2 linked regions of the Schizosaccharomyces pombe genome follow. The protein of the gene in region 1 interacts with the protein of each later gene in a biochemical or structural test. Each region holds a gene or a part of one and is shown on either strand. Other genes may lie near its edges.

Region 1 (9,185 bases):
TACACACTTTAAACATCATTTTCTAATGCTTCTAGCGTCGTCAAGTTAGGACCTGGCCTAATAAAAACATCTGAAAAATCTTCGTTGCTTGTAAGCTCTAAATTATGTTCATTCGCCAAATGTAAAACACAAATAAAGGCAAAACTGGTGGATATATCTTTGAGTTCTTTTTTCTCGTATGTCTCCTCTAATTGATTGACAGTGGAAAAAAAAGATTTGACTGGCATGTTGGTTTCTTCTGACTCCATCTCCGAACCCTCAATATGAGAGTTGATGGAATTTTCTTTAATTGTGTTTTCAAGATCTAGACATTTCCATAGCTTTTCTTTCAGTACTCGCACATCAACCTTTTTAGCACGCTTCGCATAATTCAGCATATCTGGTTTTGCCAAACGAGCAGTTAACAAAAGGTTATCACCAAATCCTGATGATGATGGAGGTGTAAGCAGAGGTGTTTGCTTAGGGCTATCGGAATCTCCAAATCCATACGGGGGTATTCCTTCATCAACATTATCACTGCCATCAGAATCGAATCCATGGGGTTGAATACCGTCCAAATCATTCTCATCATCTAAGGCTTTATTCAGTTGTAGCTGTCCTTCTCCATCAGCGTTGGGTAGAACTGACATCTTTGGTTTCAAGAAAAGCTGTAAAAGCCTCTTAGAATCATATTGGTAGTCATCAGGTAGTAAACATCGATTATGTCTTTTCCAATGAGACTTGGGAAGCTTGAGACTGCTGGTTGCAGGAGTGAACAGTGCTTCGACGTCTACTTCCTGCAAGAAATCAATGGCGTTATCAAGTTCTCGACGCTTTTTCCGTTCCGTGGAAGAAAGAGAACGCGATACATTATCTGAACTTTCAGCCGTATTGGAAGAGTTGAATACAGTTGATGCGTTATTGATATTTTTTCTCAATGCCTGAATGCGCCAATGTTCGGGTCCAGCCCAGTTCTTTTTCATTGACTTGTCAAAATATTCGTATACTCCATTCGCAGCGGCAGTAGAAATAATAGAATAATTTTCATTCATAGTACTTCCATCAGCCATATTGACTTCAGTATCCACACCAAAATCTGGATTTTCGGATTCGTCCATTGCTTTTGGTACTACATCAACATATGGGTTCTCCTCATCGTAAGCCATTTCCTCCAAAGCATGCACAATATGTCCTTCTTCACCATCGGAATCGGAAGAAAGGGAAGCTGCATCAGCATCAGTTTTCTCCATCGTATTATCCACTAAGGAGGTTGTCGTTATCATGTTAACTTCATCACTTAATGATTTTAAGAGAGAGACATCAAGATTCCCTTTACTATCAAATTCAAAGCCCTGTAAGGAGGGACATATTGTCAACTGATCAATATCGGTAAAATAGCATTTGTAAATACCATTCAAGGTCTCCCTAGAAATATTGTCATGCACATTAGTCATTTCTGTGTCATGGCTTTCGATAGGCGCTGCGACTACCGCTTCCTGCGATTCAGCTTCAACATCTTTATTTTCCAAATCCTTGATGACAGTATCGCTAGAATCGAATACAATTCGTCCATGTTGATCAACACAAAGATGATTCATTAATAAGCCTTTAGCACCATCCTCATCAAAATCTGCACACATTTTCTTGAATAAAGGATCAAAAGAACATTCTAACTCAAATTTTTTAGCGCGTATTGACTCGAAATCTTTAACGAGAGTCTTTACCGAACGTTGTGCACGCTTTCTCTCTTTCTTTTTCTGTAGATCCTCATCATCATTTTCAGCATCTTCGCCTTCTTCCGTTTGCTGCAATACTTTGGAATCGTTTGCCAATCCACTGAGTAGCTTGCCGGTCTCAGTAGCAACAGAATCAATACGCGAAGTATAAATTTTCACGCATCCGTCTAATGTACAGCTTGCCTTTTGGAAATTTATATCTTCACCATCACGTAGAAGCGACATGTCGTGAAAATAGTCAATAAGCGCAAAATTCCAGGTATTTGTGGAATTAATTTTGTTGTCAGTAGCTAATTTAATCCATTCCTCAAAATTAGAAAGAACAGGAACCTGATGAGAGCTATTAAATGGTGAAGAATTGTTTAGAGATTCTCTTCTTGGCGTTATTGAGTGCAGAGCTGAACTTCTTCGCAACTCGCGCTGCTTACGGCTGTTCTCTTTAGCTCTTTTTTTTTCTAATGCATCGTCATTTAAGGAGGGTAAGCTAACGGGCGCATGCCCGCCTAAACTAGCTCTTTTCATTGATTTAAGTAAATGTTTATGTTCACAAGTGGTAAGTCGGTGTGCCTATACGTATATCGCGCTTTAACGATATGCCGTATATTTCTTTCTAATCAACAAATGATAAAGATTCAAATAAGTTTCTAAATAAATGCCAATATGATAACATTATTTTTCTTTTGAAATTTGTTTTCAAATAATATAGTATTTCCCAATTTACTTCATTGATGGCTTCCCGATTACAAAGTCAAAAGTCTTTTGTTTATTATTCTGTTACAAATTTTGTGAAGTTTCAATTATTATAAATCTTCCATATAAAATTAACAAGGTAATACCAAATCAAGTTTGGATCCTAAAATTCAGTAGCTATCAAGTTTTAAGAGAATTTTATTTTTCGTTTTCGTTTATTTAAACTTGAACTTCGTAGTATTGTGGAGCAAATGGATATATCTAAGACAGTATATCTCTTAACATTTTACTTCTAAATCACTCCTGAATGCAATCCACTGAATGGTATGCGCATTTATCCTGACTCTCAAAATATTCAACCAATATCAAATGCAGACGATGTAAGACAGAAAATTGATTCTATTCTATATTAAAAAATAAAAAGCATTAGTGTACCATCAGATATAATGCGTGCTTTTTAAACGAACTATTATAATTGTACAGCTGCCCATATATTCATGTACCATCAATTCTCCAAGAGCATCATTGTCTAGTTTAAATAGCCACGACATGTTGGAGCACCACACAAACAAGGAATCTTATCAGCTTCTTCCGGAAACTTGTAATCATAAGTAAGTTCCTCTCCATGCATAATATCCCTGTCAGCATAAATTACGATTTTTCTTTTCCCTTCAACTCTAATAATCCTAGCTATACAATTAGGAGCGCATGAATGATTGATGAAACGCGCGATATTTCCCTTTTTTGTAGCATCAACGATAACATCCTCGTCAATACGGAACAAATAACTGTCTCCAATACCTTCACGAACGTAGTTCTTTTCACGATTATCAGCCACCCGTTGTCGAATGATTTCTCCAATATACTCTATGACCATATCATTTTTATCAATGTTTTCCATGGCAAAAAGCCCTAATGTATGAATGCGACTAGGGCCAAAATGTAATTGCTTTTTACGAGCCTTTAGTGCATTGAATCTGAGCAAGTCAGCTTCGGCTGGCAATTGAGACTTTTCAACTCCAGCAGCCAATCTTCTATTGTTAACACGATTCATTCGTGATGTGATACGGCTTGTAGAATGACTAATAGTATCGATGGTTGATCGATTACGAAGTGGTAGATATAGTGATTTTTCGGTAGTTGGAATAATATAGTATCCCTCACTTTTAGCAGAACCGCTAGTATTAGAGCGAAAATAACCTTTAGGTTCTGGAAGAATAGCCGTATCTCCATACTTAACATCCCCATTCTTAAATTTACATGACTTGCGTTCATAAGCCCAGAAATTGGGATCGTTGATATCCATGAGGGGTTCATCCTTGAGTGCCTCTTGAAGATATGAGTAATCTTCGTCATTTTTTACCAAGTACTGTAGACCATCCAAGTCAAGAAGTACATCGTCTTCTGGATAATTGTAAGGAAGTGCACCATAATAAACGCTTCCAGTTTCATCAAACTCATTAATACGCCATTTGGGAGCTAAAGCTAAAACTTCATCAATCTCTTTCTTAGGCGATATGAGTTCATCTTTTATGGCGCTACCTGATTTTGGAATCGCAGCACTAGGAGAAAGTATTGATGCATCTGATTCGGTTTCGCTGGACGAAGTATAGTCAACTTCCATCTTTTCATATTTTTTCTTTGATATTTTAGATTTTGTACGAAAACGATGGAATTTGTCATTTTCATCAGATGTATCAGAAAAAACTGGAGTCGCCTCGTCAGACTTCACAGACTTTATTGAGCCAATCTTCCCTCTTTCTACACGCTCGTCTCCAGAAGATAACAAAAGTTCTTGATCAGACTCGGCTTCAGAAGCGCTTGAGTTATACATTTGATTAAGCTGGTAGTGTAAAGGTCGAGCTTCGTGCCTTCTTCTACGTCTTCTTTGAAGTTTCGACTTCGTTTTACTACCCGCTGAAAGATTCATTTTACTGGAATCAACTCGTTTTTTAAATTTGGGAAGACTGGGGAGCTTTCCGACTGTTGATTCAATTTTTAAAGGAACATCAGGAACACTTGTAGATGAAACCAATAAATTTTCTTGTAGTTCTTCCTTAACAGAAGGCTTAGGCATTGAATGAAGATATTTGAAGATTGCCGGTCCAATTATTTTACTTTTTACATCACGTAACAAAGCAGCCTCAAGATCTCTAAGCACAACTGAGGTTGCTTCAGCGTACGCTTCCTCGGGAGGTAAAACAACTCTTCGTACTGCGCTCTTTTTTCCATCTTCCTTTGTACGTGAAGGAATGTCATGAAATTTCAATTTTATGCGACAATTTTGTACGTATGTACGATCCAGCGCACGGTAACAATTGCTCGCTTCGCGATAATTATTAAAAGTTATATAAAACCCGTCTTTGTTCATGTATATCTTTTCATACAAAAATTTTCGAAAATGATGCTTTATATCAGTATAATACACACGATCTGGAGGGACAAAGCGATCGTCAATTAGTAAATAAATATAATCATTAATATTTTTTGGAACATCAGTCTCGCTTGACGTAAGAAAACCTGATTTCTGGTCCACGTTCTGAACTTTAGAATGTTGCAAGTCTCCATTGCTCAATGTTTGTGAATTTTTCGATGGTTGACGCCAAGGAGGAATATCTTCATTCATAGCTGCAGATAACTTTTGCCGCGAAGATTCATCTTCCCGCTCGAATCTCTGTTTCTGTAAAGTTTCTTCTTGAAATTGCTTTTCAACAGCATTTAAAGCTTTCTTGAACGCTTCTTCGCATAATGAACCATCCCGATCAAGGACTACTGAAAGAGGCTTACCGGAAAACCTCAAGCCATTTGCTTGTTGTACAGCAATTTTCGCTGAATGTGCTGCTACAGAAATGGAACTACGCTTGTCAAAAGATATACAGCACAACCCTAAAGAAGTACCTGTATAAGGGTTTAACTTTAAGTCTAAATCGAAAACTTCCCCAAATGATTTAAAATGATATCGGAGCTGTTCAGAAGTCACGAGCGGTGAGATGTTAGAAACAAAAACCTGAGTTGGAGGTTCTGGACCTAATGAATTCTCATTGTAGTCATAATTTATAGTTTGCAAAGATTTTAAAAATGGCCTTCCACTTTTAGGAATACCGCGGGCATATATTGGATTTTTAAGTCTAGGGTCGCGAACTACTAAAGGTGGTTTTGAAACACCATTAAACCGATATATAATTTTGCGACCAAGGTTCTCCTTGATTCCTAATTCTGGATCGTATAAAACTTTGTAATTATTCCTTTGAACGGGTTGAGATTTCGACCGCGTAGAGGTATTAAAATCCATGGCTGATTAATATTGAATCCAAGTAGCAAATCCCAGGCATTCGATCAAAACAAAAAAGAGCTATAAAGTAAAAAAAAAAAAAAATCAAGAGATATTAAAAACCTGTGCACTAAATCAAAATCAAAAATTTGGTAACAACTCGATAAGTGTAATTTATTCCAATAATGAGCCTTGACAAATTATGAAAAAAAAAACGTTATGTAAAAAGAAATAATATCGCCGGGATGAAGAGCTTTCTATTGTAAAGTATTTGAACCGTAATTCAGCTTATAATTGGAAAAGTATGTCGCGCGACGTTACTTTGTAAATTATAACAATATTCAAAAACTCAAGTAAAACTTGATCAGTCTTCAAATAAATACGTTCATAAGGCTAATAACAAGTAAAAAAGCTCTGTCAAACATCCGTTTGGCCAAACACAAAGTTTATAGGATCTCTGTGGATGTTTGTGTAAGGTAGGCCAATTCATATTACGCGCCACAGTAGCTCTTATAGCGAAATTTAGTAAAATCGTTATCCAAAGATACCGTTGCATATTACACTACCAATGTTGCTGAAGAGAAGCAAGAATAAATGGCTTGAGAAAGGAAAACTTGTAGATGAATGTTTTAGAACAAAGACATAATTATAAACTACATGAGGAATATTAGGAATCATAATAGAAAATACTAACATGAAAAGATTGTTGGTACATGATAGAAAACCGATTCGCACACAACGATGAATGAGACGAGAAGGTACAAAAGGATAATCGAATACAGAAAAACCAAATAAGTGCCCAGATGCGAAGTAGGAAAACATTTAGCAAAACAAGTTTAACCCGGTTGTTTTGGATAATGAAGTCTAAGGCTAAAAAGAGAACGTAAAGCACAAACAACCAACTCCTAGAGAATAAATTAAAATAGTAGACGACCAGCGTTACCAACAATCGTAGAAGCGGAGAAAAGTATCATAGGAATCCATAAACGAAACTGAATTTCAGGGAATTCAACTCCATTTAACTCACTAAATTTGTTAGCTGATAAACGAATGTTTGAAAATACTGGAGCAGCCTTTGGTAGGCAGTTGATGGATAACAACTAACATACATTTTTGAGGTATCAACCAAATTATAATATAAGATACTCCCCAACACAGAAGTAATTGTCGACAAAATAATACCGTTTCTTGAGCGATCAAATATATACCAAATGCTAGCAGAACTCGCAACGAGTGCAACAATGGAGTGTGAATTCGAAATAAATAGTAATTTCTAGAGATAAGTTAGCAAGAGTATATTCACGATGCATAGTAAGCATTGGCAAAGAGGGTTTACTATCAAACTTAAATTCTCAGAAAACAGCACAACTTATTTATGGTGATGAATAAACTATATCAAGAAGTCGTTACGCATAGATAATTGCTGTAACTCCATACATCTTGCATATATATTTCACTTTTTTATTTAAAGGAACGCCTCGTATAATGTAAAACTTACCTTCATAGAAAGTAGCAATGTAGCGAAAGCAGCAAGATACCGAGAAATCCATTGCCATTTAGACGATTGTGAAGGGCGTAAAGGGGCAGCTCCCAAAGGATACTTCGTATCCATACGTCGATAAGAGAGTCCAAGTATGACAGCAACGAAGCCAAAAATTGCAGGCCATGGGGGCTCAAATTTCCAACTTTTGAGATTGACCGTCAGAAGTGGTAGCTTTGCATCTTGCACAATTTGTTCAGCCAAATAAGTAAACACAAACCCTAATCCAAATATAACACAAAGCTTACAAAAAAAAGTTATTAAAGATGAATAGTCTATAAATGTTATCCCTTTCTTTCTCTGTTTCTTTAAATCATCATCGATCTGTCTAGACGCGTAATCTTCATAACTACTCAGGGATTCATCATCTTCTGCCTGCTCTTCATCTAATTTAAGTGGAGCAAAAAGCCCTGATAGTGTCGATTTCATATTGTCCAAAGAAAGTACCGACAAGGACTTCTTGACCGCTCGATTTCCATTATAACCATCTGGGTAGCGCGGACGGGGTTCGTAAATCTCTTTTCTGCTCATTTTATTCAAGCTTACGGCACCTTTCTGTAGAGATCCTTGTGAAACTGACTAAATGGATGGAGAAGAATCAATCTTTACGTTTAGGTACTTGGCAGAATCGAGACATTGCACAAAACACGCATAGCCCAGTGACAAGTAACAATTTTGAGTAACAAAGATCTCAAGTAAGAGAGATCTGAAATGAATAAATATTTACAATCACTTTTATATGTGAATTTGACCTTTCTAAATTATAGAAATATACTCAAAACTTTTCTGCATCCATATTACTCTTATTGTTAAGGTATATTGTGCTTTGATCACTTGAAGATGCATGCCATAAGTAATGACAATGTTAACTAATAACGAAAATATCCAAGGAAAAAACTCTCGCAAACACTCATTCTACGAAACAATCAGCCACGAAGAAATTGCTTTAAATAATTAAGGAAATTTCATAATTGAGTCTGTATGCCTAAAGTGGTTTCTCTAGTTTATTCAAAGTATAGCAAATTCATCTACTATTTTTAAAACCGCAAAACAAAAATATTAATTGAATAGAATACAAAAAGCAAAACAAAGTTATGCTGACTACATGATGCCAACAACTTTCACCTTCCGTAGAGAATCATCATAAAGAAAAAACAATATTATGGTTATAAAGTTTGTCTCATCACAAGAAATAAATTCTTCAGTCCAAAAAACTATTTAATAGACTTCAATATATTAAAAAACAAAGATCATTCTAACCATTTGGACACCTAAGGAATTGCGCTGAAAGGTAAAAATGTCACCAAACTATACTTATCAAGAACCATTTATGACAATAATTTTCTTCTAAATTAAGTGTGAGATGTATCAATTATGAAAGAAAGAAATAAATTGAAACTTCTTCAGCTTATTCACCTTAAGAAGAGGTTTATAACTGTTTGCGTCGAGGACTATCAAAAGCGTGATAGCTGATTTGAATAGAGGAAAGTAAACGGCAAGAAATAAACAAAGTTGGAACCAATACAGCCAATGCCAAATAACCCATGTACAAACCAGGAGTAAAAAATTGATATTCGGTAAACAGTCCCGTCGCACCATTGTCGGTGACAGGGTGCTTCCTTGTTTGGTGCATAGCAAGCGTGGTTTGTGATCCCTCATTTTGATCAGGTAAAGAAGCCAATTGGCCGTGTTGAAGAGCACTCTTCCCTGAGTTGAGACCACCTAGCGTTTGAATTACAAATTCAGCATTGGCCTCTTCTTCGTTAGCATCAACCTTAAATCCTTCAAAATCTGAGTTATTCAAAGGAGAAGAGGCTATAATTACATTCCACTGAGCATCTTGTTCCAAGGTAGATTGTAAGTTGTAGAACATTTCATCCAATTCCATTAATTGTGCACTTCTATGATAACTTTCATTTGACAGTTCATTCATGTAAACAACAGTTATGCGATCATTTTGAAGAGGAGG
Region 2 (6,271 bases), on another chromosome or scaffold:
ATAAAAAGCTTAACAAGAACCTCTAATGGTCATGGAATTGTATCCCGAGATGTTAATCGTATCTGTATGTTTCAATCATACATATCGCAAGACGGGAAAAATCAGTTAATTTGCAGGTTCAGATTATTACTTGGAGAATCTGACTTTATATTACCTCTTTATGCTGGTGAATATGCAGCAGTACTCAACTTAAATTCTTTAAAATTATGGCATTGCAATGAAGCAATTCCTCCAACCCTTCTCTGTACATGTCGTCAAGTCCCTACTAGTCCGATAATAACCTTCTTTATTCTTCCTGTTCAAAACAACGATAATTCCGCCCTATGTGCTTTGACGGAAGGAGGCCATGCCTGGTTTTGGAGTGTCTCTAACGAAGCTCATGATGGTTCTGCTGTACTTCGGTTTATAGATCGGGTAAATTTTACAAAGAATTTAAATATCGCATCGGCTGTAGATGTCATGGGTTGGTCTTCTACTTTAAATTTGAGCAGTTTATCTTCATTTGATCAAGAGGTATTTCAATCAATATCAAAAGACGGTTTATTACAGACTTGGATGGCAAGAGTATTGGGAGACGATAAAGCGGAAATATCGGAAATTTCCAAAGTGCAAACTAGCATCAAATCTGCAACTATGATCAAAGGCTCAACATCCAAGAAAGTTGCTGTTGTATCTGAGAACAATCGTCGACTTTCAATTTTCGACACGCGTAGTTCAGAATTCTCTGAAAAGGAAGAATTTTCCTCTGTTTTTGATGATTATGGACCAATAAATGACTTGGATTGGACTTCTACTCCCAATTCCCATTCTATCTTGGCTGTTGGCTTTCTACATGATGTTATTCTTTTGTGCCAAAATCGCCGATCTTATATGAACGATATTCCATGTTGGTCTCGTATTCGTAGATACAATCTTTTAGAATATACAAATTCATTAATATCTGACTCTTCTTGGTTGGATAATGGGACTTTAGTTACTGCCATTGGTAACGGACTTTTTTATTTTGATAATTCACTTCCCGAAGATCAGTCTTTACTGTTCCCTGCATCATTGAAACGTTCCGCAAAAAATATTTTTGATCTTGCATACCAGCTTAATGGAATTTTACCAGTTTTTCATCCTCAATTGTTGCAGCAGCTTTTACTTAGAAACCAACCCTTTCTATTTACTAATATTTTGCTAAGGTTTTACTTGTGTTTGAAAGATGATGTAGATATGCATTTTCTCTTAAATATGGACTGCAGTGAGTTTTACTGCTGTGACGAAGAAATTTCTAAAGACCTTTTAATAAAAAGTCTCAGCCAAAATTCTGCGGAAATTCTAAATCCTGCGGAATTGGATTTTGAAGAGACCAGTGTCTCAAAGCATTTAGGATTATACATTGATGAAATGATAAAGAAGTTGACTGCATTATTAAAAGTAAAGAAAGTCAAAACCCTCACTCGATCATCTCAGTTTTTACTTCTTAATTTAATCGAGGCATTCAATAAGGCAAGAGCATTGCGAGATTCATTGGACCTCAACGGAAAAAGATATTGCATTATGCTAAACCAGTACGTTTTATCAAAACATCAACGTCAATTAACAAGCTTGCCCACCCGAGAGATGGCGTGGGCTTTTCATAGCTCTAACAAAGCTGTTCTGTTGGACCACACTAAAAAGCTTCATGGAAAACCATTGTTATGGAATGCTGTTGAAGAATATGCGATACCGTTTTGGCTAAATGAGCAGCTACTGAAAGATGTATTTTTAGAGCTGTCTCGCAATCATTACGCTGAGATTGACGATAGGAACCCAGAGAATGTTAGTTTATATCACATTGCTCTACACAAAATAAATGTATTTCGTGATCTTTGGCGTCTTGCTAGTTGGCATAAGGAATCAGCTCGAACGGTTAAGTTGCTTTCGAATGACTTTTCAAAAAAGAAGTGGAAAGTGGTTGCATCCAAGAATGCTTTTGCACTTTTAAGCAAGCACAGATATTTTTATGCTTCTGCATTTTTTCTTTTGGCAGATAGTTGCTATGATGCCGCAAAAGTATGTATCCGTAATTTAAAAAGCATTTCATTAGCCATCGCAATGACTCGAGTCTATGAAGGCGACGATGGTCCGACCTTAAAGAGGCTAATAAACGAGTATGTACTTCCTTTGGCTGTATCTCAAAACGATAGATGGCTCACCAATTGGAGTTTCACTATTTTAAAACAGGAAAAAAAGGCCTTGCAAAGTTTGGTATCTCCCATTCGCTCGCTGGTCAGCGATAATGACTTTATACAACTTTATACATCCGATAAAAACGACCAAGAAATTCACGAAAATAAAGATTCACAACGAAATAGTACTAACGAACCCGTACGAAATAAGTTTCCGTCTGATGATCCTGCCTTCATTTTGTTATATGAATGTTTAAGATCCAGCAACGTGCAAATTGATGAAAGTCTTGAATATCGATTTGTTTTGCATAATGCTAATGTGTATTGCCAATTAGGATGTGACCTAATAGCACTTGGGCTTTTGCGTAATTGGAAATTCCAAAAAAATCCTGCAACTGCTCATCTTGAAACTGAGGATTATATGGTAACTGACAAGCAGTCTGCAGTGGAAAAAACTCACGACTCCCCCAAACTTGGAAAAACTCTTATGGGACAAGATATCCGGCCAACACCGGACGATGTCCCCGAATTTAATGAATCTGCGTTCAGCTTCGAGTAATTAATTAATTATCGATACGAGTTTTTAAAAATACTACAAAAAATCAAATACGGTCAACCCTTAGTTTATCGTGTTTCAATAATGATATTAAAAATTAATTTACTATTAAATAGCATATAAGAATACAGATGAAGTTCCTCAGCGTTTCATTTACACAATTGCGCAGGACGTAAAGAGAGAATTAAAAATTTCTATACATTTCGAAAATAAAAACGTCCGCGGTATAACTCGAAAAAAGAAAACAAAAATATAAATAGATAGTGCAGCTCACGGAAACAAAAAATTAGACTTGCATATCGTTTGTTACATTCCACAACACTCAAGGTTAAATTTTGTTTCGAAAGGCAAAGTAAATGAGGGAAGGATTACAATGGGATAGACGACCAAAAGATTCCAAATCACACCATCAGATGGCAACCACAATTTGGTAAAGTTGCTTATGAGCGTTCACCGCGAAGACGACGAGCCAATTGCATATCCTTGGGTTGAATAGTTACACGCTTTCCGTGAATAGCACACAAGTTAGTGTCTTCAAATAGAGAGACAAGATAGGCCTCAACAGCTTCTTGGAGAGCACCAATGGCAGAAGACTGGAAACGCAAGTCAGTCTTGAAATCTTGGGCGATTTCACGGACCAAGCGTTGGAAAGGTAGCTTACGAATCAAAAGTTCAGTAGACTTTTGATAACGACGAATTTCACGAAGAGCGACTGTACCGGGACGATAACGATGAGGCTTCTTAACACCACCAGTAGCGGGAGCAGCCTTACGGGCAGCCTTAGAGGCAAGTTGCTTACGAGGAGCCTTACCACCAGTTGATTTACGTGCAGTTTGCTTAGTACGAGCCATTATTTTCTAGTGTTCTGATAATTGCCCTGTGTAGATAAAAACAAATTATAGGGAGATTACGCTGTATAAATATGTCCCTACATCCAACTTTGATCACAACCCTAACCCTTTAATTAAATTGACGTAAGTTAATAGGGACGGCGCATTAATATATATTGTGAAATGCCGCATACCCTACTAGCAATAGAAGCACTGTTTATAGTAGTAACTCTATTTCGTTAATATTAATAGTGCAATATGTCTGGCCGTGGTAAAGGTGGAAAAGGTTTAGGAAAGGGTGGTGCCAAGCGTCACCGTAAGATCCTTCGTGACAATATTCAAGGTATTACTAAGCCTGCCATTCGTCGTCTTGCTCGTCGTGGTGGTGTTAAGCGTATTTCCGCTTTAGTTTACGAAGAGACTCGTGCTGTCCTCAAGCTCTTCTTGGAAAATGTTATTCGTGATGCTGTCACCTATACTGAGCATGCCAAGCGTAAGACTGTTACATCTTTGGATGTTGTCTACTCTTTGAAGCGTCAAGGCCGTACCATTTATGGTTTCGGTGGTTAAATTCGATATCAATTGCCGACTCCGAATTTTTTGTTTCGAGTCTATCAATTTTATGTGTACACTATAACTATTCTATATATACATGCCAAACGAGAATGTTTTTCATCTGGGCGATATCAGAAGAAGCATTATCAATTTGCTAGTGCAATTCATAGACAAAAAGGCGTTTGGTCTTTGTGAGAAATTTTTCATATCGCGTTGTATCACGGCTGAATACTCCATCTGACAAGAAGATGAATTTTTCTTCGTGGATTTGTGATTAATACATTTATTGAATGAAATGATTAATATAATGTTCATTAAACCCGAATCGTATCGTGATATTTATAAGTAGTACAAATATAGTAAACGCGCAAGTTTTTCTTTAGGTAATTGTTTGTGCGACCTTAAGCAAATTAACCTAGTTGATGCGTTACACTGTTCTTCGTGTCATCTTTCTGGGTATGGGGAAAGTGTGTCTAGTGAATGGGGTTAAAGAAGGTTATCTAAGCGACTAGTTGATAGCAAACAGTTGCATAGCCAGGAAGATTGTGAATTGTACGGTACATCGTAGTTGTGAGGTAATACGCAACTTTCTAATTGAGAGATATCAAATTGAATCAGCTCGATCGCATACTTAGATACTTATTAAGTGTTGTAATTTCGTCAAATAAAACTTTTAACAATGTAAAAAAGTACGTACTTTCTTCCGCTCCTTGCTTAATACCACAATAAATGAATTTACCTAATCTGTATCTAACAACCACATAGTCAACGGGACTAACAAATTCCAGTAAAGTGTTAAGGATAAAAAGCTTTCAGCAATGAGAGCGTACGACTCTTTCTCTAATCTGACATGTTTTCTTTTGTGTTTATAAAGCATTCGTTTTGTATTGACAAATTTTTCAATTACCTTGGGTAGGTGAATTATTTTTGGGCATATGACATCAGAACGCGTTGAACAATTAAGTTCACTTTGACAAAAATACAGATTTTTTATCACTACACGTCGTTTACTTTATATTTTACTTCATCTTATTACAAGGTTACTCTGTAATTGTAACGTTTGACGAAGCCCATAATCCAATCCTCTTTTTCGTTGCAGAGGAAAATAAGGAAGAGTAAGTACGTAAAGCCTACGAAAAGAAAGAGAAATATAAAAAAGTATACGTTTGTCAGTGCAATATTGAATGGTAAGTTTATTAATTGTTCCACTCATCGACTAAATAATAAAGTAGAAAGACGAGACATTTATGTGTATGCTAGAACACACTGGAATCCATTTGTTCACGAGTTGTTCTCGTAATAACATAATGATTGGTATTGCCGTGTGTGAATGCCAGTGATTATTGATGTTTGAAAGACTACAACTGATAAAAAGATAGTTGCACTAGTGATAAAAGTCTGTTGAAATTGGTATGCTCTAAAAGTCATTTGTACTTGAGTAAGCAGTCATATGCGTGTTGGCTATCCATCTGTTTGACTTGTTTGAAAATAATACACATGGGTTATGCTTTTCACAAGAAAGTAGAATAATTGATTCCTACATCTGCATCATCCATATCGATCGGTAAAGTATACTTTATCCTACGAATTGGTTTCATAGTTAAATCACTCCTCTGCTTAGCAGCTCCGCATCCCCTTCGTGTACTAGCCAATCTCATCGACATCGACAAATTGACTTCACCTGAGTTAAGCATACTTAATTCAACTTAACGAAGTGCAACCCACCACGACTGACCTCTGTAATCTCGGAAAACGGATAAGACGGTTCAGTACGTTCGCTAGTAAGAAGCATGCATGCAAAGGTACAAGAGCAGGCTTCCCATGCAAACTGAGAAAATAATCCCTGAAGAATTGCTAGTAAGCCAAATTGCAGCGCCTCCAAACATCCTTCTATTAAGGACCAGAAAGAATGATGCTGATGACTAATTTTTGGGTTATGCAAGAAGCATCTGGCATTTTCTTTAACTTCTCCACGAATAAGGAGAAGGTCACACGACGGAAGCGTGGAATAATGATGAGTTTGATCGTCGGTAAACTCCCCCAGAGTAGCGAAGATCATCGGCATCGAAAGAAAGAAGGGAAGGAAAAAAAAAAGTAAAAACGACTTGATGAATTCCGTGATCATGTAGGGTAACGGAAGACGAGATTACCGAGTTTAAGTAAGCAATCGAGGTCTG

What was found.
Region 2: of the proteins of set1 (region 1) and hht3, one has a biochemical effect on the other in vitro, tested with the Schizosaccharomyces pombe proteins (one study listed by BioGRID).

The regions. Positions count from the first base shown.
Region 1 is NC_003421.2:409,831-419,015, forward strand, and holds set1 (histone H3-K4 methyltransferase Set1), read right to left. Parts: upstream 6,118-9,185; 5' UTR 5,698-6,117; coding exon 2,935-5,697; 3' UTR 2,463-2,934; downstream 1-2,462. Other genes in the region: condensin complex non-SMC subunit Cnd2, read right to left, coding at 9-2,237; ins1 (INSIG domain protein), read right to left, coding at 6,594-6,702, 6,786-6,949, 7,175-7,747; family protein BIG1, read right to left, coding at 8,646-9,185. UniProt on the Schizosaccharomyces pombe protein: Catalytic component of the COMPASS (Set1C) complex that specifically mono-, di- and trimethylates histone H3 to form H3K4me1/2/3. Binds RNA which might negatively affect its histone methyltransferase activity.
Region 2 is NC_003423.3:3,525,970-3,532,240, forward strand, and holds hht3 (histone H3 h3.3), read right to left. Parts: upstream 3,597-6,271; 5' UTR 3,561-3,596; coding exon 3,150-3,560; 3' UTR 2,831-3,149; downstream 1-2,830. Other genes in the region: RAVE complex subunit Rav1, read left to right, coding at 1-2,712; hhf3 (histone H4 h4.3), read left to right, coding at 3,798-4,109; SPOM_SPBC1105.13C (uncharacterized protein), read right to left, coding at 5,791-6,219. UniProt on the Schizosaccharomyces pombe protein: Core component of nucleosome. Nucleosomes wrap and compact DNA into chromatin, limiting DNA accessibility to the cellular machineries which require DNA as a template.